3 linked regions of the Arabidopsis thaliana genome follow. The protein of the gene in region 2 interacts with the protein of the main gene of each other region in a pairwise test. Each region holds a gene or a part of one and is shown on either strand. Other genes may lie near its edges.

Evidence for each region.
Region 1: the proteins of HMG (region 2) and AT2G25650 interact in binary tests that used the Arabidopsis thaliana proteins (3 or more experiments, as listed by UniProt).
Region 3: the proteins of HMG (region 2) and AT4G00270 interact in binary tests that used the Arabidopsis thaliana proteins (3 or more experiments, as listed by UniProt).

The regions. Positions count from the first base shown.
Region 1 is NC_003071.7:10,908,793-10,919,121, reverse strand, and holds AT2G25650 (DNA-binding storekeeper protein-related transcriptional regulator), read right to left. Parts: upstream 4,612-10,329; 5' UTR 4,358-4,611; coding exon 4,121-4,357; intron 4,040-4,120; coding exon 3,116-4,039; 3' UTR 2,906-3,115; downstream 1-2,905. Other genes in the region: emb2410 (embryo defective 2410), read left to right, coding at 1-484, 599-879, 1,140-1,396, 1,506-1,744, 1,858-2,049, 2,141-2,413, 2,520-2,666; AT2G25640 (SPOC domain / Transcription elongation factor S-II protein), read right to left, coding at 5,214-5,414, 5,642-5,701, 6,077-6,197, 6,431-8,286; BGLU14 (beta glucosidase 14), read right to left, coding at 9,242-9,589, 9,641-10,329. UniProt on the Arabidopsis thaliana protein: Probable transcription factor. May play redundant roles with GEBP and GPL2 in cytokinin responses by regulating the transcript levels of type-A ARR response genes. Involved in stress responses.
Region 2 is NC_003074.8:10,780,905-10,789,229, forward strand, and holds HMG (high mobility group), read left to right. Parts: upstream 1-3,983; 5' UTR 3,984-4,049; coding exon 4,050-4,103; intron 4,104-4,389; coding exon 4,390-4,575; intron 4,576-4,651; coding exon 4,652-4,757; intron 4,758-4,847; coding exon 4,848-4,984; intron 4,985-5,062; coding exon 5,063-5,146; intron 5,147-5,227; coding exon 5,228-5,322; intron 5,323-5,409; coding exon 5,410-5,518; intron 5,519-5,653; coding exon 5,654-5,740; intron 5,741-5,838; coding exon 5,839-5,931; intron 5,932-6,010; coding exon 6,011-6,208; intron 6,209-6,295; coding exon 6,296-6,441; intron 6,442-6,531; coding exon 6,532-6,679; intron 6,680-6,759; coding exon 6,760-6,867; intron 6,868-6,948; coding exon 6,949-7,131; intron 7,132-7,289; coding exon 7,290-7,368; intron 7,369-7,466; coding exon 7,467-7,594; 3' UTR 7,595-7,825; downstream 7,826-8,325. Other genes in the region: AT3G28720 (uncharacterized protein), read left to right, coding at 1,225-3,435; CYP81D11 (Cytochrome P450 superfamily protein), read right to left, coding at 7,860-8,325. UniProt on the Arabidopsis thaliana protein: Component of the FACT complex, a general chromatin factor that acts to reorganize nucleosomes. The FACT complex is involved in multiple processes that require DNA as a template such as mRNA elongation, DNA replication and DNA repair.
Region 3 is NC_003075.7:113,245-123,077, forward strand, and holds AT4G00270 (DNA-binding storekeeper protein-related transcriptional regulator), read right to left. Parts: upstream 5,400-9,833; 5' UTR 5,225-5,399; coding exon 4,991-5,224; intron 4,908-4,990; coding exon 4,233-4,907; 3' UTR 3,841-4,232; downstream 1-3,840. Other genes in the region: AT4G00250 (DNA-binding storekeeper protein-related transcriptional regulator), read right to left, coding at 1-666; MEE45 (Transcriptional factor B3 family protein), read left to right, coding at 1,727-1,780, 1,878-2,163, 2,270-2,379, 2,459-2,768, 2,862-2,983, 3,059-3,463, 3,508-3,807; AT4G00280 (ER protein carbohydrate-binding protein), read right to left, coding at 9,165-9,279, 9,407-9,468, 9,569-9,607. UniProt on the Arabidopsis thaliana protein: DNA-binding protein, which specifically recognizes the GL1 enhancer sequence. May be involved in leaf initiation. May play redundant roles with GPL1 and GPL2 in cytokinin responses by regulating the transcript levels of type-A ARR response genes.

The sequences.
Region 1 (10,329 bases), on a different chromosome or scaffold from region 2:
GAGTCTTGAAAAACCAGAATGTGATGTACAAGTTAGGTTATTGGATGGTGCTGTTGGTGGTATAGACCTTGGACGAGCTGAAGTTTTTGCTTCTCTTACATCTAACAGTCGTTTTCTTTTCAACTCCAACTTTGAACCATTTGTCCAAAATGGTCATGTCCATATACAAGGAAGTGTTCCTGTTAGCTTTTCGCAGAAAAATATGTCTGAAGGAGAAGTCAGCGAAACAGATAGAGGTGGTGCAGTGAAAATCCCGAGTTGGGCAAAAGAGAAGGAAGATGATGAGAAGAGAACCTCAAGGGATAGGAGCGAAGAGAGATGGGACAGCCAACTAGCTGAGAGTCTCAAGGGTTTATACTGGAATATTTTAGATGCAGGAGAAGTTAGACTGGAGGCAGACATCAAGGATGGGGGAATGACTTTGTTAACAGCCATATCTCCTTATGCTAATTGGCTCCAAGGAAATGCTGATATCAGGCTTCAGGTTGGCCATTGTCCTCTTGTTGTGTTGTCTTTACATTGTAAGATAGTTAAATTGATCTGCCATGTCCTCAAATTCTGACTAAATTCATTTACGCATAACCTATCTGCTGAGCAGGTCGGAGGTACAGTAGACCATCCAGTGCTTGATGGGTCTGCTTCATTCCACAGGGCGTCTATCTCTTCACCTGTGCTTCGTAAACCGCTCACAAACTTTGGTGGAACCTTACATGTTAAATCAAACAGGTTGTGCATCACCTCACTGGAAAGCAGGGTAAGTAGAAAGGGAAAGCTGGTTGTTAAAGGAAATCTTCCCCTTAGATCAAATGAAGCATCTGCTGGTGATGGAATAGAGCTCAAATGTGAAGTTCTAGAAGTACGAGCAAAGAATTTTTTAAGGTATACTCTGCAATATCAACGCTGCTGTCAATCATTTTAAGCTTTTAGTACATAATTTTGATTTATCTTTCTTACTTTAACTATTGATATATCTTGATGGGTACATACTTTATCGTGGATCAGTTTTGTTAATTTTATATATCTAGACTGCATGCTGAGATACTGTATCGTCTAGGTTTCTTCCATTTTGCTCTTCTAGACTCATGTTACTGAGCTTATTACTTTTTCTGATTCCGTGAGAGATCGTGTTGCCATATCAGTTGTCAGGTTGATACTCAGCTGCAAATTACTGGATCAATGTTGCAGCCAACTATATCAGGAAATATTAAATTAAGCCAAGGAGAAGCTTATCTGCCTCATGATAAGGGTGGTGGAGCTGCCCCTTTAAATAGATTGGCAGCCAATCAGTATAGTATTCCAGGTGCTGCTATTAATCAAGCAGTTTCTTCACGATATTTTGCTCGATTTTTTGGCACTGAACGGGCTTCTTCAGGGATGAAATTCTCTCAGTCGACTGGTAACCTACATGTTTACTAGCAAAATTTCTACGTTTTTTTCTATTTTAGTATTTGGACTTTGTATGTAAACACTTTTGTAATGATCTCGGTTTGTTTTGCCTGCAACAGGTAAATCAAATTCTGTTGAAAAGGAGATTGAAGAAGTGAAAATGAAACCAAATATGGATATCCGTCTGAGTGATATGAAACTTGTTTTAGGACCAGAGCTGAGGATAATGTACCCTTTAATTCTTAATTTTGCTGTTAGTGGTGAGCTTGAACTTGATGGCATGGCTCATCCAAAATTTATCAAACCAAAGGGTGTCCTAACATTCGAAAACGGAGATGTCAATCTTGTGGCTACTCAGGTTTTGCCTAAATCTCTGTTTTGATTTTATGTGGTGAACTCATTCATTCCATAATTCTTGCAAAGCCAACATGTCCTCGAGTAACCAACATCTATTTTGTTTTCTAAACACAGGTACGTCTGAAGAGGGAGCATCTCAACGTTGCAAAGTTTGAGCCTGAACATGGACTAGATCCTCTGCTAGATTTAGCCTTAGTTGGTTCAGAATGGCAATTTAGGGTTCAAAGTCGTGCCAGTAATTGGCAGGACAAACTTGTCGTGACTTCAACACGTTCTGTTGAACAGGATGCTCTCTCACCTTCGGAGGTAAATTTGAAGTTAAAATGTAGCTGTATTTTGGAAATTGTTGTGTTTTCTTCTTGATGGAAATCTCTGTTTAATAATCTCCCTTTCGCAGGCTGCAAAGGTGTTTGAGAGCCAATTAGCAGAATCCATATTAGAAGGAGATGGACAACTTGCTTTCAAAAAACTTGCAACCGCAACACTTGGAACCATAATGCCAAGGATAGAAGGAAAAGGAGAGTTTGGTCAGGCGAGATGGAGGTTGGTGTATGCTCCGCAGATCCCAAGTTTACTCTCTGTTGATCCAACTGTGGATCCTCTCAAGTCTCTGGCGAGCAACATATCATTTGGAACGGAAGTTGAAGTGCAGCTCGGAAAACGTCTTCAGGTCAGGCATAAACATTGAAATCTTCTTTCTTCTCCATATGGCCTCATTTTTTTCAAAACCTAACCAAAATAAGCACTCCACGGTTCTTGCTGTCTTTTATCTACAGGCCTCTGTGGTAAGACAGATGAAAGATTCTGAGATGGCAATGCAATGGACACTTATTTACCAGCTCACGAGCCGCTTGCGTGTCCTTCTGCAATCTGCACCTTCCAAACGTTTGCTTTTTGAATACTCTGCTACATCACAAGACTAAATCCTTTTGTCTTCCTCTGTCGGATTCATATGGATATAAGCCGTTTGTTGCAAAGGAAGTGCATTTTGGAATAGCATGGTTTTGGTGACTACCGACAAGAAAAATTATTTTATTATTTGGTCAGTCTTTCTTTGTGCACTTCTTCTGGCCTTTTAGTGGTTAAAAATGTAAAAATTACATTGTAAATGCCTTTTGTTAGGGAATGCATATAAAATGTTTTGCCACTTCATTGACTGATTGGTGCAACAAGAAAGTAATGAAATTTATTATATCCAACAATGGACATGGATGGCTCTTCTGGATACTTCAGTTAAAACTGGAATGTCTTACAAACACTTGCCCAAACAGAACAAAGACAACATCCAAAGATATACACTGAACAGACTAAAGCTTATGGCTTACTAAGAACCTAATTAACACCAAATGCTACAACGGCTTATTGGTTTCATCTAACTATCATTAGCTGCCTCTGCAAGCTTGGCGGAAAATCTAAGCTTCTTGATATTCAATCTTCTTTCCTCAACACATAACGCTTTCCATTCATCACTCAACTCTCTTCTTTTTCCAGTTCCAAGGTTCATCAGCTTCTCAAGCTGCAACTTCTTTTGATAACCACTTAAACCTTGCGACATTACAGCCTCAAATGCATCCTGCACAGCGCATAACTCATCATCATCATCGTCATCATGTCTCTCTTTTCCACCAGTAGTCCCGTTCTCTGTTGTTTTCGCTGCCCCATTCTCATTTACAAGTTCAGTATTAGCCACTTCCTCATGCTCCTTCAACATCTCCTCACTCTCGCTCTCGCTCTGCTGTGCTATTTGAGTAGTCCCGTTATTGTCTCTTATATTCTCTGCACCATTCTCATTAAAGGGTTCCTCATGCTCCTTCAACATCTCCTCCTCGCTCTCGCTCTCGAGCTGCTGTGCTTTCCGAGCAGTCTCGTCGTTGTCTCTTATCTCCTCTGCACCATTCTCATTTAACGTTTCCTCATGCTCCTTTAACATCTCCTCCCCACTCTCGTTCTCCTGTGCTATTCGAGCAGTCCCATTTTCAGCTGCGCCATTTCCGTTTACATCGTGCTCCTTCACCATCTCCTTATCCATACCATCATCATTACCAAATTCACCTTGTCCCCAAATCATCGAAGAAAATCCAAAGGCTTCAGAATCACTAGACCTAGTAAATTTCGGATCATTCCCTTCACTGATTTTCTCCCAATGAACATGAAATCTCCTTTTCAACTTCCTGATCTTACTCAAAACCTGCTCCTTGGAGAATTTCGCAACGATAGAACTTCCGAGGAAACTGTAAAACGCATCCCAATCAATTTTGGGATTGAATCCTGTCTTAGCTCTGTAATCAACTAATCCCTGAGAAATTTCGAATCTGGTTTTGAGAAAATCAGAATGCAAAACCAAATCAAAGTGTAACGGAGAAGATGAATAGAATACCTTTAAGATAGAGAGCTCATCTTCCTCGTTCCAGATCCGGACGATCAACGGCGGACCCAAATTCTTCTTCTTCTTCTTCTTTTTCTTCTTCATAGTCTCTTCGCCTGCTTCTGCTGCGAAGGAAGCAGCAGCACGCTTTGAGGAAGGATTCCGTGGAGATTCTCGATGGGAGAGGGTATCGTCGGAGTTATCACCACCACCACAGGAAGAGAAATCGATCTGCTTCGGAGTCACCATGGTAATTGCTTTACACTTGCTGATTCTAGAGGCATGCAGAGAAACCCTAAATCAGGAAATCATATTAACAAAATTGATCAGTGATTCCCAAATTTTCACGACCTTTAAAAAGTGAAACCCGAGAGAAAAAAAAGCTAGTCTTTCCAAATTTCTGAATCGAGCTGGTCAAAAAATATCATGACTGAAATTTTCTCTGCACTTCTGTTTTATAGTATAATCGATAGGAGTGGATTTTGTTACTTTTGTACTTTTTGTTACAGAAAGGAGCAATATATTAGCGGGCTGCGCAAGCCCATCTTACTAATAAAGTGCCAAATATCGGTGACTGTTGAGAGAAAATCACAAAATTTGGAAAGCAGTGTTGCCTGCAACAGAAAATGCATAACAAACACAAAATTGCTAAGGTGAAACAAAAAACAATTAATATCCTCCTCTGCCATCCTGATGAGACCACCACTCACTACATGGTCTAACCATCGAGCCACCATTTACATGAGTAACCCCAAGAGTCCAGTTAGATTGAGGCTGCCACTCTGGTAGTATATCATTGTCATTATCATTATAACTTTGGTTCCTCAAAGGTTCAGATTTTCCATATTTTTGAATAAGCTCTCTTACAGATACAGACCGGCTTGTCCGGTTCACGACAACATCCCCACTGGAAAAATAGTTAAATTCAGGCAAGTCATCATCTTCATCCCGAGCCATGGTCATTGGGCCAAACCCCGGTGGCACATCATCACCATCGTCATTGTTGACCTGTAGCATGTTACTGTAACGAGAAGTATTATATGTGGTTAACGAAGAACCCTTTTCACGGTGGTTCTTGTGAGAGTTGTTAGATAGTGGTGATTTTTTAAATTGTGTGTCTTCTCCATACAACAACACCTATAAGACCATCATCATTTATAGATTTCAAGAAATCGAGTTGGTTTCTCGGAACAATCTTGTTTAGAATCTCGACAGTTCTCCCACGGGTTGGGCATAGGTATAGCTCAACTCCTGAAGCTGGTTCTGCATAACCCACCCTCCCATCTTTAGCGTATGAATCCACCACCTGTATAGTAACAAAACCAAATGCCCAAATTTCGTTACCAAGTTAGACATTCTACAGATATTTAGGAGTGTTTCAATTTAAATTCGGTTTGGGTTTTCAGTTTGTACAGATTCGCGTTCAGTTTTGATCAAATAAATCATTAATATTCAAATAAATCTCAAGTTTTTTTAATCATCTTTTCGTTTATTTGGATACACAGAATCTTGGTTAACTACCAACGCTCATACCTCGGAAATGTTCTCTTGTTCTGTCTTTGAGCACTCTTCTTTGCAGACGAAACACATAACCTGTAACACGAAAGCAAGGTTTCAGAAGTACCATGATGGATAAACGAGTTCATCACATACATATAGAATCGAGAACAAACAGGTCTTAGTTTTATTGGAATATGGAGGCCTATTCAAGAAACATAAGCTATGCAATTGTTCTGGTGAAAATATTTTTGTAAGTCCATCTATCTCCATTGTGATTCACAGATGTAATGTATTTTTCTCAATCATTCACAAATCAGTATTGGCCGTTAATCTCTCCTCTTCTTTCCTAAATGCTTCTACTTAAGCTTGGTTAAACGTCACAGTTAATAGCTTTTGCAGGGGCTCAAACACAGAATGCGTATATAAAACATGTACATTAATGATAGAGGTAAACGTGTAGACAAATACCATTACAGCACGACTCCTGGAATTTGGGAGCTCTCGAACAAACTTCTCAAATGCATCTAATCTGACTCTACCCTTAATCTCGAGCAAAATAGGCCACTCTTTTGTAGTAGTCTTTTCGCCACTGTGAAGCGTAAAAATCAGGTTGGTAAACATGGTATCAATAACAGCGAAGCCATATTCATTAAAAAAACATTTTATAGAGCTGATAAGCACTAGAATAGTATAGATAAGTAGTAACATGTAGACTAAATAAAGAAAGCTATTCATATATGCAAACCTAAATTTGGAAATGTGGAATAAAAAAAAAATACTGAGATAGGTTTGCTACCACTCATGAAACAATTTATTACAAACCTTCTTAGAATGCCGATGACAGAGCTCACAGTAGAAGGACTCAGCTGGAGCACACCTTCCCATAAACGTTCACCATCAGGTATGAAAACAGATGTAGTTTTGGATTTCAAATCAGAACTAGGCTTTGACGATACTATGTCAGCATCCTCAGCGTTAACAGGTGATGATGCCTTAGCCGTAAGTGGTGACAATGCCTCAGCCTTAACTGGTGATGTACAAAGATCAATATTAGCACTTTCTTTGGGTGATGAAACTAAAACCTCCTCTACATCATTATTATCTGAAACAGAAGGTTTTTTCTCAGTATCTGAAGACAAAAAGCCAGACGGAGATTCAGAATCTATGGATGACATGAATTCATCAAGAGAGACAATTGGAGGAAGAGATCCAGTGGCAGCCTGCATCTCATCATCTATTGTGACTCCGTTTATTGGCCCAGTGCTCTCATTAGAGCTGTTCAATTCATTCTTGACTCCAAGAGTTTTCGTGATGGAAGGGGTTTTCTTCTTAAAATTCTTTGTTCGAGACCAGTTAATCGAACTCATTCCAACAGAGACCTCTACAGAACCACTATCCATTGGTTCAACTTCCACTTGGAACTCTCCTTTGTGTGTTTTCCTTACTAGGCTTCTGATATCCACCTCAGTGTCCTGCAGAACAACCATCTGAGCCATCTCTTCTGCTTTTGCTTGTCGCCACTCAGCTAGTTCCTTTGAAGCAAGTTCCTCTGCTGACATGGAACACAATCGCTCTGCTGCAATTTCTCCATACATAACTTTTTCCCTGAGTTTAGGATTACTCTTGTCTTTCAAATTGAACAAGAGAGACCTTCCTTTCTCTTTATATTTCTTATTTACACCACCAAATAACTTAAAGAGTTCTGTCTCTATTTCAAATGCCAAAACTTGTGGATCCAGTAACAATTTTTCCAGGCTCCCATCATTAGCCATTGCACCAATCATTTCATTTTGACAATTGACAGTAAACTCAATGTCCGACTCGAGAGCCCAAGAGAGGTCATTCCCTTGCAAAAGATCATCTTTTGAAAACACATTGTCACTATATGAAACATTGTCTTGCACAAACGGTTTTACAGCCTCAGGTACTTGGGCATCACTTGTCTTGGCGATAGACAAAATCTCCGGTAACACTGTCTGAACAGAGATACCCGCAACAGGACTAGGATCACTGAGGGTCAGCATCTCAGTACTTCCATTAGATACCATCACATCAACTCCAGAAGCAGCTGACACTGGCCCACTAACATGACCTTCTAGAGGATTAGCTACAGTCTCACTATCTAACATTTTCGACTCGTTAGGAACATCCATTTGACACTGTACCATTGCCAATGCACCAGCTAAAGATTCTCTCATTTTAGACCTCACAGAACCAGACGACTCACTTTGAGGTTTCAGCAACATCGGTTTCTGTAAAGTCGGTTTTCTCGCCGCAGCTTGCTTCCCAGGTTTACTAAAAGAAACAAAACTATTCTTACTAACAAACGAAGCAGGCAAATACTGTGTTCTAGGGGAAACAGAAGATAACTGCACAGGCATTGGAGCAGACGCCCACGGTCGACCTTCCATAGGTAATGCCATCCGTTTATTTTGCACAGAAGGATGCAACGGAGATTTCCGCTTACCAGGTAACAGAGTCTTATCCATATTAACTGATCCTAAACCAACAACACTAGGCAACATTACATGAAAATCTTGTCTCCCACCAGAGATATGACTACAGATTGGTTGTGACAATCTCATTTCCGGATTAGAAATCAGCTCAGGAGTGGGAGTAGGGACATTAATGAATTGACCCATTTGCATACAAGGCTGAGGCAATAGATTGTTGGACATAACAAATCAATCTAACAAAACAAAGGCTGCAAAAGAAAAATGACAAAGCGGATTCAGTGAAGATTCAAAAGATTTCGTAACAACAAATGTATCGACATTGATTCAGCTGTTATTGGTTCTCATTGAAACAATTGATGATTTAGTGAAAGAGATGATTAATCGTGACCAATGGCAATGATATGAATCTAAGCTTCTACTTCATCAATGTTATAACAATGTAAGAAAGAGTGAATGTCTAATACCTAATCTGAGAAGCGAGGAAGAGAGATCAGAGGCGGCGATTGGGAAGAGAAGAGCATGAGTCTCTATAGTGAAGAAGAAAACCCTAAAGGGAACTTAGAGAGGCATGTGAGAGAGATGTGACGACTCTATAATTAACCTCTCTAATCTATTAATTCGTTATCTATAGCTGCTCCTTAACCGTAATTAGCTTTTCAATTATAACTCAAATAGTATTAAAAAATTATGAGAAAATAGTAAAAAAAATTGTTGTAATGATGCAGGCATAAACTGTTGTCTGTGCTAAAAATATTTTTCCAAATGAATTAGAGAGATATCAATATGAACTAAATTTCTATAATTTTAACTATTTTTATTTAATATTAAAAATAGATCATTAATTTTTATTGAAAATATTAGATTTTTAAATTATTAATAATTTACCACTAGTGACAACCACAACAAAATAAAATCACAAACTAATTTAACTAATTAATTAATTTTAGAAGGCCGAAATAAGAATGAAAATTCTTGATTTTTTTATTTAAATGCATACTATTCCATTTAATTTAGTGTGCACAAGTTTTACATTGAAACCACTATTTTTGAGATTTAAGTTTGATATAATACAGTAAAATCAAACCTTATTTGTATATTAACAATAGTTGTTTTCCAAACAAACCATTGTGCATGTATTAATCTAGTTAGTTAATATATTGGAATGTTGCATATCTCATCAATTCTCCTTTTTTCCATTCAATAAATGTCTGAACCAGTGAGCCGATTTCTTAAGATATCTCTTACGTCTATCGTTGAAATCCACGTAAACAAGTCCAAACCTGACCGTGTACCCCGATGCCCATTCAAAGTTATCTAGCAACGACCATGCAAAAAAGCCCTTAACGTTTGCTCCAATCAAGATAGCGTCTTGAACCATCTTGAGATGTCGAGCGTAGTAATCGATTCTATCGCCATCTTTAAGTAAGATTTTACCAGTGCTAGCTTCATCTCTCCCATTTTCTGTTATGTACATGACAGGGTCTTTGAACTTGTATTTTGCATAGAGGATAAGATCACGAATTCCCTTTGGATATATCAAAAGTCAATCTGATGCAGCTTTTGGACCAATGGGAACTCCATCTCTTTCGCCTGTGACGCTAGCACAAGGATCAGAGAACATTGTAACGTTTTCGCTTGAGCAAGGAACATCTTTTGCATAAGAAGACGAGTAATAATTGATGCCAATGAAATCATATGATCCCTTAAGCATGTTAGATTGTTTTGAAGTAAATGTAGGCAAGCGACCGCCTTTTACGTTGTTAACCATGTCAACCGGGTATTTACCGGTCACGAGCGGCTCCATGAAATAGTCGAATGTGAAAGCCATGGCTCGTGCCGCGGCTAACCTATCCTCAGCTGATTCTGTATAAGGTAAGTTCCAACCTGCATTCAAAGCTATACCGACTTGACCTTTTTGAGAAGCCTTATACTTTTTTCTATAGACTTTGATTGCTTCTCCGTGAGCTAGGATAAGGTTGTGACCAACGATATAAGGCTCGGTGGCTCCATTCCCGGCGGTGCAGTTAGGGTTTGTAAATTTTGAACACCTTCCTGGAGCCATAACACCTGCAACATATCCTTGTTGCACCACTGTTAATGGCTCGTTCAATGTAATCCAATGTTTCACTCGATCTCCAAAGCTCTTGAAACAAATATCGGCATAGTCGCGAAAATCATTAACAATTTCTGCCCCACGGAATCCTCCGTAAGCATCTTCAAGGTCTTGTGGTGTGTCCCAATGGAAAATGGTTGCGAAAGGCTTAA
Region 2 (8,325 bases):
CCATTAATTTTATTTTATTTAGAAATATAAATTTTAAATTTTAAATTGAGTTTAATAATCTTTTATTTTTTCTTTAGTAAAAACTTAATAATAAATAAAACTCTTTGACATACATTGTTTTTAGAAACGGATTTTAAATTTTAAATTTTATATTCTTTTATAACATTTTCTAAATAGATATATATAAAAAAAATTACTACATCATGCATTTAATCTTACTTTCATTGGAAAAATCATTTTTGCAATGTTATAAAAATTGTGATGTCAAACAAAAAGCCCGACTTAATCGGGACGAAAAACCCAACTTCATTGGAACGACTAAAAACGACAACAGAACAACCATGTTAATGGCAAAAACATGACAACAAAAAAACTATGTTGACGGCAAGAATATAACAACGGAAAAGACATGTTAACCGCAAATAAAGATAAGAGCCCCTCTCTCTCAAAAATATTAGAGAAAGAGAGCTTTCCTACTATTTCTTAGAGTCCGAATCGTTACAACGGTTCGAGCAGACAAAACCGTGTATGGACTGGACCCGCTTTTTATTTACCATTCATAAACTATAGTTCCTAATAGTATAGATAAAAAAAACAGAAAAAGACGTTGTGGACCAATTGCACACCGTTTTTTATATTGAAATCAGTGTTCAAGAAAACGTCAGACGCTATTCGGGAGGTGATCCAATGTCTACCGCCTAAAACACCTAATCGGAGTCTAGACAATTTTAGGCGGTTAAGATGTTTATAACATAAAACATTATAAATATGTTATTATAGATAAACATCATTCAAAATATGGATTAAAAAAATATAAATATTAAATTTATAAACAAAAATGTGATAAAACGTACATATAATTCATACTAAACAATATTTGAACATTTAAAACCATGTATATGAAGACAAAACTTAAAAAAAGTAAATTTGAATAATTAAATATTGGAAACATATATTGGAAGCATAATTAATCTTAAGCGGTCGAAACGGTCATCTAGGCGTCGCATGAGAGCCTAGCCCCTAGTCGAGGCCTAAACAACCACCAAAATCGCTTTTTAGAATACTGATTGAGATAAATTAAATCTGTATTGATTTATTGTCTACCCCTAAAATAAAGTAGACTGAATCGCGGATTGATTAGTATTAACCGCAACATCCATTCAAAACCTCGGTCGATAATTCATAACTTCAACCGCGTTCACGTTATCATTACCCAAATTTTAAATGATAGTTTTTTGTTGGAGTGAAACCCCTAAATTTAACCCCAATGTGAAAAATCCACTTAAATCTAACCCCAATTTGACATTTTTAGCCCTCGAAAGCCCAAACAAATCTTCGTCTTCGTCTTCCTCCTCTAACCTCCACTCTCACATGACGCACCACCGCATCACCACCTACTTCAATGGCGGATCCGCCTCCATCTTCCTCCTCCTCCTACTCATCACCACCACTTCCTCTTCTTCTCCACCAATCCCAGGCCTAGACACCTTCCTAACAAACCAATATCGTCTCGACCCAAAATCATCAAACGACTCATTCACATCACTCTCCTCCTCTCTCAAACGATCTCTCTCTTCTTCATCAATCCACTTCTCATCACTCTCCAAATCTCTCCTCTCTCTCTCAATCTCAATCCCACTCAACGTCCGTTTCATCGGAGACTCTTTCCCTTCCTCCGCCGCCTCCACTCTCTCCGAATTCATCTCCGCCGCCGTAACTAACGACAACTTCCATGTAATCTCTCCATCTCCAGATTCATCAACAAATCACAAACTCGTTATCTCTCACTCTCTCCACCTTGACGCTTCTCTATCTCCCCAATCTCTCTCCACCAGACTCGATTCAACTTTGAAAACCCTAATTTCATCAACAACTTCATCTCTCAGATCTAATCTCCTTTCGATCCAGTACAATCCAATCGATGAGATTATAAAGCAAGAGTATGAGAAAGAGAAGCATGGAGATGGTGGTGTTTACATTTACTTGATCTCTTTAGGCTCACAAGCTAAACCTTATGCTTATAGTTACTCTCATGGTGATTCATCAGCTGGGTTTACGAAATGTTTAGGTAGTATTTGGACTGGTAAAGATCGTTATCTATGGATTGATCTCTCTGCTGGTCCTGTAGATTATGGTCCTGCTTTATCTGGTGATGGTGTTTTACCAAGAGGTGAGTTTCATCCTTTAGCTGCTTTACATGGTCGTCCTAAATCAGAAAAAGCTTTACTTGCGGATTTGGCTTCGTTGGTGTATAATGCTTATCAGGTTTTGATTGTTCCTTCTTTGAGAATCCCTGTGTACTTTGAGGATACGTTGGTGGTTCAGTTTATTCATGTGTATGGGTCAGAGGTTAAGGATTCGAGTGGGTTAGATTTGGAGTTTGTGAAGAGAACGTTTATGGATGAAGCTGAGAGTGGTGGGTTGTTGTTAGGTGAACAGAAGTTGAGTTTTAAGAGTTATAGTGTGAATTATAGAGAATGTTCGATTTGTTCGTTTGCGGTATCTCGTGGGATGAATTCGTATACTTCTAGGTTTTTGTTTGATAACTATACTTTGATTGTGAGTGAGTATTTGGATTCTAAGCATATGCATCGGGCGTTGACTGATTCGGCTGAGGAGTTGAGGAGAGTTGCGGGGATTGTTGAAGAAGAAGGAAATGAGTTTGCTAGGGTTTTACCTGTTTATGTGTTTGATTTGGATATCAATACGCCTTTGTTGCTTGATCGGTATCATCAGTCTGTTGCTTTTAGAGATATGGTGATTGCTGTTAGAACTAGAGGAACTCAAACGGTTAGTGATTATACTTGCAACGGGCGTCATGTGTTTGTTCATACGAGAGACTTAGAACGACCTCTCGTTGGTTCCATTCTGCAGAGTATGTGGGGTGTATCTTCTACTCATTTGACATGGAGCCCGAGACATAACACAACTCTAGTTGATTATACATGGAGCATTGGGCAAACACCGTTTGGACCATTCTCTGATATCTCGTCTCTATCGTTTGTTCAGAAAGATGCTGCTAAGAGAAACGTGATTTTGACATCTTTGAACACAACTATCACAAGTGCAATCGATGTTATCGATTCCGCGGTTGCATATGGAGGAGATGTGATCCTACGGAAACAGAATCGCCACTCTGAGTTCATGCAAAGGTGGAATCTTATGCAGTACAAGCTGGATAAAACGGTTTCTGCTCTATCACACAATGAGTTCGAGATGGCTTTGTTCTACTTAAGATCAGCTTCACACGACTTGTACTCAGTGCATTCAGTAGTGTACCTCGCGTCACAACGGGTAGAAGCGAGTCTCAACTGTTTCAAAGATCCACCGTTCCCATGGGGAACTGTTTCAGTGTCGGGATTCGGGTTAATGGCTGTTGGTTACGTGTTCTCGAAAAGAGATAGACTCTTTAGGAACAAACGAAAACAGTTCTGAAGAATTCTAGCAATGCAGGGTAATTTATAGTCATTACATTGGATAAAAAGACTTTGATAGTTTGGTTTTTGAGGTTAATACAACATGTACTACTATTATGAGCTTGTTTCCATTTGGTAATGTTGAACAATAGAGACAATGCTCGGATCCTCTGTTTGGTTGTCTATTTATTTTGAATAGCTCCATCACATTCCTATTGTCTCCTTCAATAATCACTTCTCCATACCCTTAGACCGGTTTTCCCCTCCTAACCAAAGCCAAACAAAACCGAAGTAACCGGTTTGGTAAACCGAACCCGCATGCCTACATAATTGATATAAAATTCTGTTTTATAAGAGGTTTCTTTTCCAAATGTGAAAAAATCCAAAACTCAAAACAACCTTCTGTTTTTACCGTTTTTTGATAAAGGTCTTTTTCCCAAATCTGCAAAACCAAAAACTCAAAAATTCAATTAAACCGGAAAATCTAATTTTCGAAAATTGGTTTTCTTCCCAAAATTAAACCGCCTGAGTGTCTATGTATAAAAGTTGATATCATAGTTTGGAAAAAAAAAAATCACTCTCTCTCTTTCGCTCTCGCTTTCTCGTCTCTCTCGTGTCTCTCAACAGAAAACCATGGCGGACGGCCACTCCTTCAATAATATCTCTCTCAGCGGTCGCGGTGGAAAGGTACCATCTTCTCTCTCTGTCTCCTTCTATCTCTCAAGATCTTTCAATTCCTTCAAAGTTTTCACCTTTTCCTCTTCCTTCGAAAACCCTAATCTCCTTTCTCTGTATCCCCTTTTGCTTCCGCCGCTCGATTCTTAAAGAACTCAATGAGTCAAATTTAGGGTTAAAAAAAAGATTGTCGCTTTCATTTTTCAGTTGTGTTGTTTTCTTGTTTACAATTGTTAAAGCTGCGGTAGTTTTTAGGGTTTTCTTAAGGCTAATTAGGGTTTCAATTTTGGTTTTTTAGAACCCGGGTTTACTTAAAATCAATTCTGGAGGAATTCAATGGAAGAAACAAGGTGGTGGAAAAGCTGTGGAAGTTGATAGATCTGATATTGTAAGTGTTAGTTGGACGAAAGTGACAAAGAGTAATCAATTGGGAGTCAAAACCAAAGATGGATTGTACTACAAGTTCGTTGGATTTCGAGATCAGGTTTGTGTGTGTATATCTTTTTTATTTGATTTGATATTGTAATGTTTGTGCTTGTTCTGATTCCTTTGTTTTGTAGGATGTTCCAAGTCTGTCTAGCTTTTTCCAAAGTTCTTATGGAAAAACACCGGATGAGAAGCAATTATCAGTTAGTGGTCGTAATTGGGGAGAGGTGGATTTACACGGTGAGAGTTCTTATAGCTTTTAGGCTTTACTTGTGGTTGTCTAGTTTCATTTGTGGATCTAAAGGGAGAATTTTTTGTTTCTTTGTGTAGGGAATACACTAACCTTTTTGGTTGGATCAAAACAAGCTTTTGAAGTATCTTTAGCTGATGTTTCACAGACTCAGCTTCAAGGGAAAAATGATGTTACTTTGGAGTTTCATGTTGATGATACTGCTGGTGCTAATGAGGTACTGGTTTCTTTTGATATGTAATCTCTAGGCTGTTATGTATGTACATTTACTGATTTATATTCTACGTGTTTACAGAAAGACTCGCTGATGGAGATTAGTTTTCATATTCCTAATTCCAACACTCAGTTTGTTGGTGATGAAAACCGTCCACCTTCTCAAGTGAGTTCCCAAACTATTTTCATTATATGTATGTGCCTCAAGTATATATTTTTTTCTGTTGATGCTAAAAGAATGTCTCAGGTTTTCAATGACACAATCGTTGCAATGGCTGATGTTAGTCCTGGAGTTGAGGATGCGGTCGTCACATTTGAGAGTATTGCAATCCTCACACCCAGGTAAAGAGTTGATTACTTAAACATTTGTTGCACTATTGTATGGCTTCATCTTGTCATGACTAAATGATTTGGTTGTTTCTATCACAGGGGTCGGTACAATGTGGAACTTCACCTTTCTTTCTTACGATTGCAAGGACAAGCTAATGACTTTAAAATCCAGTACAGTAGCGTTGTCCGTTTGTTCTTGCTTCCAAAGGTAATTCTTTTTTAAGCATATCTCAGGGCAGTTACCTATGTTAGCAGTCATCAGATTAAAGGGATTATCGTATTATGATCACTGAATCGTGTTCACATTAATTGAGTTCGTATTTTTTTTTATATGCCTGAGCAGTCAAACCAACCACACACGTTTGTTGTTATCTCTCTAGACCCACCAATCCGGAAAGGTCAGACAATGTACCCCCACATTGTTATGCAGGTAAACATTACTTACATTTTTCCTTCCATTTCAATTTTCTATGTATAATTTTCGTTTTTTTACTCTGATTTACATAACTGTTTTTGCATCTTCTCCAGTTTGAAACAGACACCGTTGTCGAAAGTGAACTGTCAATTAGTGATGAACTTATGAATACAAAGTTCAAGGACAAGCTGGAGCGATCATATAAGGTTTCTGTCTGGTCTGCACTTACATTATTGTTCCTGAATAAAAAAATTTATACATACGCTGAATTGTATGAATTTTCAGGGTCTCATTCATGAAGTATTCACCACCGTGTTGCGTTGGCTGTCTGGTGCAAAGATCACTAAACCTGGGAAGTTCCGCAGTTCCCAAGATGGGTTTGCAGTGAAATCGTCTCTCAAGGCAGAAGATGGGGTTCTTTATCCACTCGAGAAGGGATTTTTCTTCTTACCTAAACCTCCAACGCTTATACTTCACGATGAGGTAAATTATGGTTATTAAGGATTGGAGATTTTTTATAGGCTTTGAGATAGAGTTGGGTTTTCTAACCTGTTTTTTTTTCGTTTTTAGATTGACTATGTCGAGTTTGAAAGGCATGCTGCTGGTGGTGCTAACATGCATTACTTTGATCTTCTCATAAGACTGAAAACTGACCATGAACATCTGTTCCGTAACATTCAAAGAAATGAGTATCACAATCTCTATACCTTCATAAGGTTAGCGCGGATTATTTCATTGTCTCCGTCTATATTTACTGAGTGCATTTAAGATTTGTGGTGAATATTCCTTATGTTTTCTTGCTGCAGCTCTAAGGGTTTGAAGATTATGAACCTTGGAGGTGCGGGTACCGCAGACGGTGTTGCTGCTGTTCTTGGGGATAATGATGATGATGATGCTGTTGACCCTCATCTTACGCGTATCAGAAACCAAGCTGCTGATGAGAGTGATGAGGAGGCAAGTACTTTATGTCTGACCGAATTACTTCATATTCTAATGATCATGTGTTTGATAATCGAGACTTTTAATTTATGAAGGACGAAGACTTTGTTATGGGTGAGGATGATGATGGTGGTTCACCAACTGATGATTCTGGCGGGGACGACTCTGATGCTAGTGAAGGCGGTGTAGGAGAGATAAAAGAGGTAAACTTTTGTCGCATTCATTCGAACTCTTTCAGCAGCAGTATTTGTTTCTCATATCTTCCTGTCATTGACTTGTTATAGAAATCTATCAAGAAGGAACCTAAGAAAGAGGCTTCGTCATCGAAAGGATTGCCTCCTAAGAGGAAAACTGTAGCCGCAGACGAAGGCAGTAGTAAGAGGAAGAAGCCGAAGAAGAAGAAGGATCCCAACGCACCAAAAAGAGCAATGTCTGGTTTCATGTTCTTTTCCCAAATGGAAAGAGATGTGAGTTCTTCTCTCCTTTCTTTTACTTTTACCTCTATGATGTAGGCTAAGTTGCGAAATGGAGTATCCTCGGTCTATTACATACATGAGAGCAAACAATTAACAGACAAACTTAGCACATTCCTGATTATGTCATTTTCCATTTGTGAACTGAACAGAACATAAAGAAGGAACACCCAGGAATAGCATTTGGAGAGGTGGGAAAGGTGCTTGGAGATAAGTGGCGTCAAATGTCTGGTAAAAAATTTGAAGATCCTTTTCAAAAGTAAATACATTACTTGGTTTTACTTTATCATGTGAATGTGTTTTAATTCCCCAACCGTGTGTATGTATAGCTGATGATAAAGAGCCATATGAAGCCAAGGCTCAAGTCGACAAGCAGCGATACAAGGATGAGATCAGTGATTACAAGAACCCTCAGCCGATGAATGTGGACTCAGGAAACGATTCCGATAGTAACTAAACTTTGATTCTCCAACATTCTCTACTAGTATCTCATTTACCTACAATACTAAGTTATGGCATGTAGTAAACGTTGGACCTTTAGTTGTTTGGAGTTAACCAGATTTTTCTCTTTGACCTTAAAGATCTTGTGTTACTTCCTAGAAAAGAAGAGCCTGTCTTTACCTCAAAATATAGAGTACTCTGGTAAGGCCATAGCTAAGAAGCAACAAAACAGATCGTGTTTCTATCGAAATTGTTATACAAGAGGTTCTGTATGATGAAAGTTATGGACAAGAAGCATCTAAAACCTTATGGACAATGGGACGAGCTTTACACATAGCTTGCAACGATGTAGCTTTTCGCATTGTGGTTCCTTTTTCACTTTCTCTCATGTCTAGATACTTTTCTTCAACCCTCTCCCACTCAAAACATTGGACCAATGATCCAAGAGCCAAAGTCACTAGCCGTTGAGCTAGCCCTGAACCAGGGCAAGATCGTCGTCCAATCCCAAATGGCATCAACTTTTTATCCTCTCCTTTTTTCTCAAACCTCTCCGGCTTAAATTTTTCTGGCTCTTCCCATAACTTTGGATCTCTATGGATGGCCCATGCATTCACCAAGATGATTGTGCCGCGTGGAACGTCATAGCCATCAACTATACAATCTTCTGATGCTAAGTGGGGTAAAAGCATTGGAGCCACCGGATAAAGCCGTAAAGTCTCTGACACAATGTGCTGAAGGTAAGGAAGT
Region 3 (9,833 bases), on a different chromosome or scaffold from region 2:
CTTAACAAGAATAGATTCATCTTTCTTCACAGGAGATTCAACGTTCATACCATCAGATCCCCAAATCAAAACAGCCAAACCCAAACATTTCTTATCATGATTCGATTCACCACTTTTGTTCTTCCGGTTAACAAAATACTTATTCTTTAATCTTCTAATCTTGTCAAAGAACTGGACATGACTAACATCAAAGCTTATAGATTTCTTGGCGATATCAAAAAACGCATTCTTATGATCCCAAGGACTTGTACCTGTCTCAGCTTTGAAATCAATCACTGCCTGTAGAAGAGAGATCTCATCTTCTTCACTCCATACTCTCTGAGGATTCGCCTTTTTGTTATCGTCCTCTTTCTTAACTCTTTTGACATGCATGTCCCTTGAGGTGCTTCCTTCACCAGCTCGCTTCTTCCCTGACTTCACCGCCGGTGATTCAGCAGCACCTTCTTTCTTCTTCCGCCTGGTTAAGACGAATGACTGCTTCTCTGAGTCATCAGAAGAATCTGTCTTAGAATTCACAGCGGCGGAAGGAGATTTTAGGGTTTTAGAGGAAGGAACTGTGACAGGATCTTTGGGTTTGCTTTCTTCAGAAGAAGACTTAAAGATCTCTTCAGAAGAACTCTCAACTTCGCTTGAAGAAGCGGTTGCTGGACTTTCCAAAGGAGCCATTGGATTTTCTTCTTTCAGATTCTCGGGTATGAGTACCAAGTGGGAACTGAAGGGACAATTTTAGGGTTTGTGAGTTGCGAGACTTTTTATTTTTTTACACTGTAACATCTCTTATATTTAAGAAACAATTAAAGTAAATAAAGCTCAACAACAAAAACTAATTAAGCCCAACAAAATAAATAAACCATCATCCTTATATGTAACACTGTAACATGGGAAAAAAAAACAATTTTTTGCCCAAATGTATAAGAAATTTGTATAACAAAATTCATACTAGATTTTCTTGTTGTAATTCTTGGTATACAAAATGAAAGGTTTCTTTGTTGTAAAACAAAAATATATGTACTAAAAGTAATTTTACAAAGTCGCTTTATATTTTTACATTTAGAAAGATCATTTGATCAAGTGGGAAACCTTTATTGAAATTAACAAAGTGGAAAAGATTGTAAGTAGTGAAATTTAGTGTCATCTATAGACAAAAAAAATGTAAATTAGAATTTAGGAATATGAATTCGGTTAGGATTAGTCGATTAGGTTTATTGAGTAAACTCAATAAAAATTACTGTAGTAATACTTCAGTACTCGGTTCGGTTTATAGTTACCGAACTGAAACCAAACGATTATTCTAATTTAATTGAAGTTACCAATTTTTATCTTAAGTTTAATTAAAATTATTGAAAAATATGAACTCTCTCTTACAGTAAACCGACCTGAAATTGGTTTTTGGTTCCAATTTGACACCAATATTTTATCTTGAACCAAATCGAAATTTATGCTATTAAAATTGAACCGAGCCGAACTTTACTTTCGGTCTACTTCGGTTCAAGAAATTTCAATCCAATACATATGAATTCTGAAAGTCCTGAACCGAACCAGAGTGTTTAACCACAATAAAAGTCTCTTCAATGGTCTCTTCTTGAGTATATCAATGGTCTCTCATAGTTTCAACAACACCAATAAACTGTCATCTTCAAGTTGGAGTTTATTACACTCGTTCCTTCAAGAAACTGTACCGTCGACTTTCAGATTTAGCCATTTAGGACTTCTCAAGATTTTGAAAATGGCGCATCAACATTTCTTCAAGCCTCTTCTTCCTGGCTTCCACGCCTCCTTGGTACTCTCTTTCTCGCTCTTTCCCTTCTTCTATCTCTGTCTATGTCTCTCTGAGAAGCTAAAGATGAGTCTGGTTTTGTATTTGCATGTTGCTTCAGACAATTCCTGTAGCCTTCTTCTTGAAGTATATAGAAGGAAGATATGAGCAGAAGACGGCGAAGCTGAGATCAGACGCGTCAAAGAGAACTTGGGAAGTGAAGATAGATGGCCAGAGACTCACCGACGGTTGGAAAGAGTTTGCTGTCTCACATGATCTTCGAATCGGTGACATTGTTGTTTTCAGACAAGAGAGTGACTTGGCTTTCCATGTAACACTGTTGGGACCTAGTTGTTGTGGGATTCAATATGGTTCGTGTTCAGTCGAAAAGAACAACCTCGGTGACGGTGAGTTGTGTTCTGTCTCTGGCTCTTCAAGAAACGTGGTTTGCTTTTGGAATGTGGATCAGTGAGTAGAGATAACCAGTTTGACTATATAACACTTATTTTTCAGAGAAAAAGAAAGTGAAGGAGAATCCAAATGGAGAAGCAGAGTCTTCTTCACGAGATCCCTCTTGTTTTGTGGCTAATGTTGCGCCTTCGAGTCTACGTTATGACTTGATGGTATTTGACTCTTAAGAACCCGAAAAGAAACTCTCATTCTAGGGTCTGAACTCATGTTGTATTCTAATGAATTTTTCAGAGATTTCCAAGGGGTTTTGTGAGGGATAATGGTGTAGTCGGATCTGGAGAGATTGTTCTGATGAATGAAAAGGGCAGATCATGGAATTTTAACTTGAGACAAAAGCCATCAAACGGAACAGTTTATGTTAGAGGAGGGTGGGTGAGTTTTTGTGATGCCAATGGGCTTAAAGCTGGAGATAACTACACTTTCAAACTGATCAAAAGAGCAGGAACTCTTGTTCTACGTTTGTTACCCAATGAGCCAAAAGAGGAAGCTAATGAAGTGTCTCTTCCCGAAGAACCGGAAAGCGATGCAGAGCGCAACCTTGGTGAGTTCTGTTCTTTCTTTCTCTAACTCTGCCCATGATACTTGACATTCAAGAAACGTGCTCATATGGATTTTATTTCTTTCTTTTTTTCAGAAAAGATTCAAAGGAAGGAGAAAGTGAAGAAGAATGTAACAAGAGAGGCAGAGTCTTCTTCACAAGATCCCTCTTGTTTTGTGGCTAATGTCTCCCCTTCGAGTCTACGCTATGACACACTGGTATTCTACTCTTACTTTTGAATCCCAAAAGAAACTCTCATTCTAGTGTCTGAAACTTATGTTGTATTGTTCCAGTATCTTCCAAAGCGTTTTATGAGGGAAAATGGTGTAGACAAAAGATGTGGAGAGATGATTCTGATTAATGAAAAGGGAAAATCATGGACTTTAGATTTGAAAGTAAAGAAATCATCCGGAACTTCTCTCATCAAACGAGGATGGAGAAGTTTCTGTAGTGCCAATGGACTAAGAGCTGGAAGTATCATAACTCTCAAACTGATAAAGAAAAGAGCAACTCTTGTTCTACGTTTGATCCCCAACGAGCCAGAAGAAGCTAATGAAGTAGTCTCTCTTTCGACAGAGCAAGAAAGCGATGAAGAGAGTATCCACGACGAGAAAATCTCAAGAAGAAAGTCTTTACTATCCGAAAACCGATTTGTGACATTAACTCTAACACCTTATACAATCCAAAGTTCTCTACTGGTACGTTTCATCATTCCAAGCCATTGTCTTTTAACAGTCTATAGAATGAGAATCTTTTGTGTGAATCTATGTTTCAGCGTCTTCCGGTTCCTTTCACGAGGATGAATGGTATCAATGAAGAAACTAAAATGACTCTGTTGGATAAACATGGTGTGAAGTGGTTAACGACTCTGCGGTTCGAGGACGACAAAAGAAAAAGACTACGAATGGTAGGAGGATGGCAAGGATTCATCCAAGCTAACGATGTGAAGGCAAACGAATCCATCATGTTGGAACTGATTTGGGAAGAAGAAACAAGTTGCGTCCTTAAGTTCTGCTCCAAGGTGAAGCTAGAAATCAAATGAAACTCTATATTGAAATGAATCAATGTTTGACTCTTTTATTTGGTAAGATATAACTCTTAAGGTTTCATTGTCTTAGAGAGTAAGAACAAAAACCATTTTTCTTTTAATCTTCTACATTGTTAATATCTTGGATAATATTACAAGACACACACACACTCTTACTTATACTACTTCACTACACTCTTAGGCACACACACAAGCATGCCTTAAAGCACATTATTAACCCTAGACTCTAGACTCTTGCACAAGCCACTCTACTACATTGGCTCTTGTGGATACTTGAGTAAAAAGTGGAATATCTTACAAACACTTGCCCAAGTAGAAGAAAGACAGGATCCAAAGATAAATACACTGAACAGACTAGAGCTTATGACTTACTAAGAACCTAAACAACACCAAATGCTACAAGGGCATATTGGTTTCATCTAACTATCATTAGCTGCCTCTGCAAGCTTGGCGGAAAATCTAAGCTTCTTGATATTGAATCTTGTTTCCTCAACACATAACGCTTTCCATTCATCACTCAACTCTCTTCTTTTACCATTTCCAAGGTTCATCAGCTTCTCAAGCTGCAACTTCTTTTGATAACCACTTAAACCTTGCGACATCACCGCCTCAAATGCATCCTGCACCGCGCATAACTCATCATCATCATCATTGTCCTCATCATGTCTCTCTTTTCCACTACTAGTCCCATTCTCTGTTGTTTTGGCTGCCCCATTCTCATTTAAAAGTTCAGTATTAGCCACTTCCTCCTCGTGCTCCTTCAACATCTCCTCCCCGCTCTCGTTAGTCCGGTTTTCCGCTGCACCATTTCCGTTTACCTCGTGCTCCTTATCCATACCATCATCATCACCTTGTCCCCAAATCATCGAAGAAAACCCAAAGGCTTCAGAATCACTAGACCTAGTAAATTTGGGATCATTCCCTTGATTGATTTTCTCCGAGTGAACATGAAACCTCCTTTTCAACTTCCTGATTTTACTCAAAACCTGATCCTTGGAGAATCTCTCAACGATAGAACTTCCGAGGAAACTACAAAACGCATCCCAATCAATTTTGGGATTGAATCCTGTCTTAGCTCTGTAATCAACTAACCCCTGAGCAATTTCGAAAATCTGGTTTTAGAAAATCACAATGCAAAACCAAATCAAACTATAAATGGAGAAGATCAATACAATACCTTTAAGATAGAGAGCTCATCTTCCTCGTTCCAGATCCGGACGATCAACGGCGGATCCAATTTCTTCTTCTTCTTCTTCATCTTCATCTTCTTCTTCATAGTCTCTTCTTCTGCGACGGAAGCAGCACGCTTTGAGGAAGGAATATTCCGTGGAGATCTTCGATGGGAGAGGGTACCGTTGGAGTTATCAGCACCAACACAGGAAGAGAAATCGATCTGCTTCGGAGTCACCATGCTTATTGCTTGCTTTAGACTTGCTGATTCTAGGGCGCATGCAGAGCAGTGATTCCCAATCTTCACGACCTTTAAAAAGTGAAACCCGAGAGAAAAAGAAAAGCAAAATAGGATGAGTAACACTTGGCCATACTTTTCTCAACATTCATAACAAAACAAACACTTTCATCTTTTTTTCTACTGTTTAATATTCATCAATAGTACAATTTTGCTCTTGCAAAAATCTATCATTTTAGTCACTTAATAGTATAAAATATTTTATCTACCTTTTTTATATAATAAATTAAAATTTAGTTTTTTCTACATTTTAAGATTCATTGCTGATATATTTTAAGTAAATAATTATATTATATATTATCCATTTCTGATTGAATATTTTTTTATTATTAAATAGATATTAAAAGGTATTTGAACAAAACATATTACACGATAAATTAATAAATTTTGTCGGTCTCAAATCGGGGTAATGTAAAAATTAACCAAAATCGATAAGATAATAAGATAATATTTTTTTTGAAATCCCTATGTAAAAATATGGTACCAGTAATATCATAAAATTAATAATCATAAATCTTTAGCATACATTCAAAGACTAATTTTATATGAAACTTTTGTTCAAGTCATAATTGCAACTCTTTCTAGAGTATAGTTGGTGTGATCTCTTTTGTATTCACATAACTCTTTGCGTATTTGATCCGTCATATTTGGTTTTGTAACTTTTTTTATATGAAAAATCATTGTTAAGATTTGTGTAATAAAAAATTGGATTAAGTCTCACGTTAACGTCGTATACATGCACAATATCTTACAGAGAAAAAATAAAAAAAGTAATAAAAAAAAATCTAACAGAATATACAAACAATAAAACATAAAGAAAAACTAAATTAAAATTTTTCTTTTTAAAAAATTAATATTGTATTTTACGTATAAATTTTTATAAATTAATAAATGTACTACTATCATAGTAACACCTACAAACTGATATGCATATATACACAAATGAGAGTTAACACTATATATATATCGATTGTACCTTGTGTAGTGGAACACTTTATTGTTGTAAATACATAATCCTCAACTATTAGTGTCTATGTATGTCAAACAAATGAAACAATGAAAGCAATCCAAATTAAATGAACAGATTACAATGTAAAATGCCTTCATCCATCTCCGCCATTAGCATGATAGGAACTTGTACTCGATTTCGAGATCCAAGGAATATTACAAAAGGAACGTAACCGTGCTTCTTTATGATCTTCACCACCTCAAGAAGGACCTCTTGTTATATTGTATAGCTCCTCTTTTCCCTGAGACAAATGACCACAATTCTAATGTAAAAAGATCACATCAAGCGACACAATACTCCATCGGTCAAAGATCATTCTTTTAGCCAAAACTTCATTGATTAAGGCTTTGAATGGGAGGGAAGCAGAAAAAATACATGTTTACCTTTGCATATAGTGCTCCTATTATCAAGACATTATTTCTGTATTTTCCTTTTTGTTTTAATATTTAGAGTTAAGATTTCTGTTATTTAAAAACAGTTGATCTATGCATGCAGTCCTTCTCTTACCAAGACATCATTCATGTATTTTTATTTTTGTTTTAACATAACATTTTTGTTATTTAAAATCAGTTGACATGTGCATGTAGTGCTTATGTTACCAATACATCATTTATGTATTTTTATTTCATATTTTATTATTTAAAATCAGTGTATCTTTCTATGTATTCCTCCTATTACCAAGACACTATTCATGTATTATCATTTTTATTTTAATATTTATTTTAAGATTTTGTTATTTAAAATCAGTTGACATGTTTATGTAGTGTTCCTGTTACCAAGACACCATTTATGTATTTTATTTTTTATTTAATATTTATAACTAAGATTTATGTTATTTAAACAACAGTTGACTTGTGCATGAAGTACTCCTATTACCAAAATATTATTCATGTATTTTCATTTTTTATTTAATATCTATATTTAAAAATTTTGTTATTTTAAAATTAGTTGATATATGTGCATATAGTGCTCCTGTTACCAAAATATAATTTTTGTATTTTTTTTTGTTTTAAGAGATTAAAGATTTTTGTTATTTAAAATCAGTTGACTTGCCTATGTAGTGCTCTTGATACCAAGTCACCATTCATGTATTTTATTTTTTATTTTAATATTTATAATTAAGATTTATGTTTTTAAAACAATAGTTGACTCGTGCATGTAGTCCTCTTATTACCAAAACAACATTCATGTATTTTCATTTAATATATAATTAAGATTTATGTTAGTTAAACAATAGTTGACTCATGCATGTAGTCCTCTTATTACCAAAACATCATTCATGTATTTTTATTTTTTATTTAATATCTATATTTAAAATTTTTGTTATTTAAAATCAGTTGATATATGTGCATATAGTGGTCCATTTACCAAAATATCATTTTTGTATTTTTTTGTTTTAAGATTTATATTTAAAATTTTTGTTATTTAAAATCAGTTGACTTGCCTATGTAGTGCTCCTGATACCAAGACACCATTCATGTATTTATTTTTTATTTTAATATTTATAATTAAGATTTATGTTATTTAAACAATAGTTGACTCGTGCATGTAGTCCTCTTATTACCAAAACAACATTCATGTATTTTCATTTAATATCTATATTTAAGATTTATGTTATTTAAACAACAGTTGACTCGTGCATGTAGTCCTCCTATTACCAAAACATCATTTATGTATTTTCATTTTTCATTTAATATCTATAGTTAAGATTTATGTTAATTAAACAACAGTTGACTCATGCATGTAATCCTCCTATTACCAAAACATCATTCATTTATTTTTATTTTTTATTTAATATCTATATTTAAAATTTTGGTTATTTAAAATCAGTTGATATATGTGCATATAATGCTCATGTTATCAAAATATCATTTTTGTATTTTTTTTTTGTTTTAAGATTTATATTTAAGATTTTTGTTATTTAAAATCAGTTGAGTTGTCTCTGTAGTGCTCCTAATACCAAGACACCATTCATGTATTTATTTTTTCTTTTAATATTTATAATTAAGATTTATGTTAAAGAACGGTTGACTCGTGCATGTAGTCTTCTACTTGACATTCACACCTGAAACATTCAAACTCTAAATACTTATAGAAGAGGACCATAACCATTTTGTTGATACAACATTGCATCAATTTAATCTCCATCCTTCAGCTCCAATTGACAAAACACATTGAAAAAAACACCATCGATGAATATGGCTTATCTTAATATATTATAAAAATCTTTAAGCTTGAATGATAATACATATACCTCATCAGGTGTATGATATTCTCGAATTCAAAATAGAAAGCGAAATGTGTTCCACTCTACACCTCTCATTTTGGTGTAAAGTCCCATCAATTTAAGAAGCTTCGCCTTTCTTCTCACCTTTATATTAAGTCATGCATGCTAATGTAGATGAAGCTTGTGGACGCTAAGAAATGTGAGTTGTTGTTGGAGAAGATGGATGTTTTGAAGGAGGTGACTTCGGTGCTTGCTCAAACCAACTAAGAAGAAGAAGAGGAAGCTATTGGATTGTATTATAGGTTTATCGGTTTTTAATCTCGGGTTTAAATGGAGATGTAATGCCTTCTTTTGTTATCTAACTTAGGATTCGTCTCTCTGTCTACGTTAATGAACTTTTAGGACTTTGGATTCTCGTGTGAGAATTAGCTAAGTTGTCTTTGGTCGATGGTTGTAATGAATTAGCTAAGTTGTTTAACAAGCCTTTTGGTCGATGACTGTAATGAACTTTTAGGACTTTGTAAATGTGCTTCCTTTTTGAATGTCTCTCTACTCAAAACTCATAACCAGAGTTATTACAAAACGAAGAAACACACAATAGAATGGATTCGCAAACATATTCAGCAATGACAAGAGTTCTAAATAGCTTATATGGTGATAGGTTCAACCTCATTAACAAAACGGGTTATGATCAAATACTCGAAGCCTTTTCCCTGCGGAGGCTGCACATTGTAACAGTTTCTGTTGCCTTGAGGGAAGCTCCTAAAGTTTTGAAACTGTTTCTCAAGAGAACTTAGTTTGAAACAATGCCTTTTCCAAACCAGTTTCAATGGTGTTGGAAAGAAAAATTTGTATGTACTCAACAAGAAATGATCCATTTCATTGATACGTTTTCATCGGTTGCAGAGATGGTACGAGTGAAGATACTTCCCGGCCTTCTTCCAAATCTTCCTTATGACTTACCCACTCACTCACATCACGTCCAATAAAGAGTTTCAAGTTTTGTATTAATAAAAAGGGAATAAACTAAACAGCAAAAGTTGAGCTGAACTAATTGATCATGCACTGCAAACCACATCAAACGAGCCATTTTCTGCTTAACATATTGAATTGATCTTTTCCTGTACATAGGAATTGTTAGAACCCTATAAATACCTACCTGTTAAACAGAAACTAGAAGGAAAGAAATAAAAGCAAGGCCAATATGAAACATTTTTCTCTTGAAACCTAACAAGTCATCACGATTTTCTGTAATTTCCCAAAAACACAGATTTCTGGATCCATCTAGCTAAGTAGCTTCCGGATCAGTATTCCTT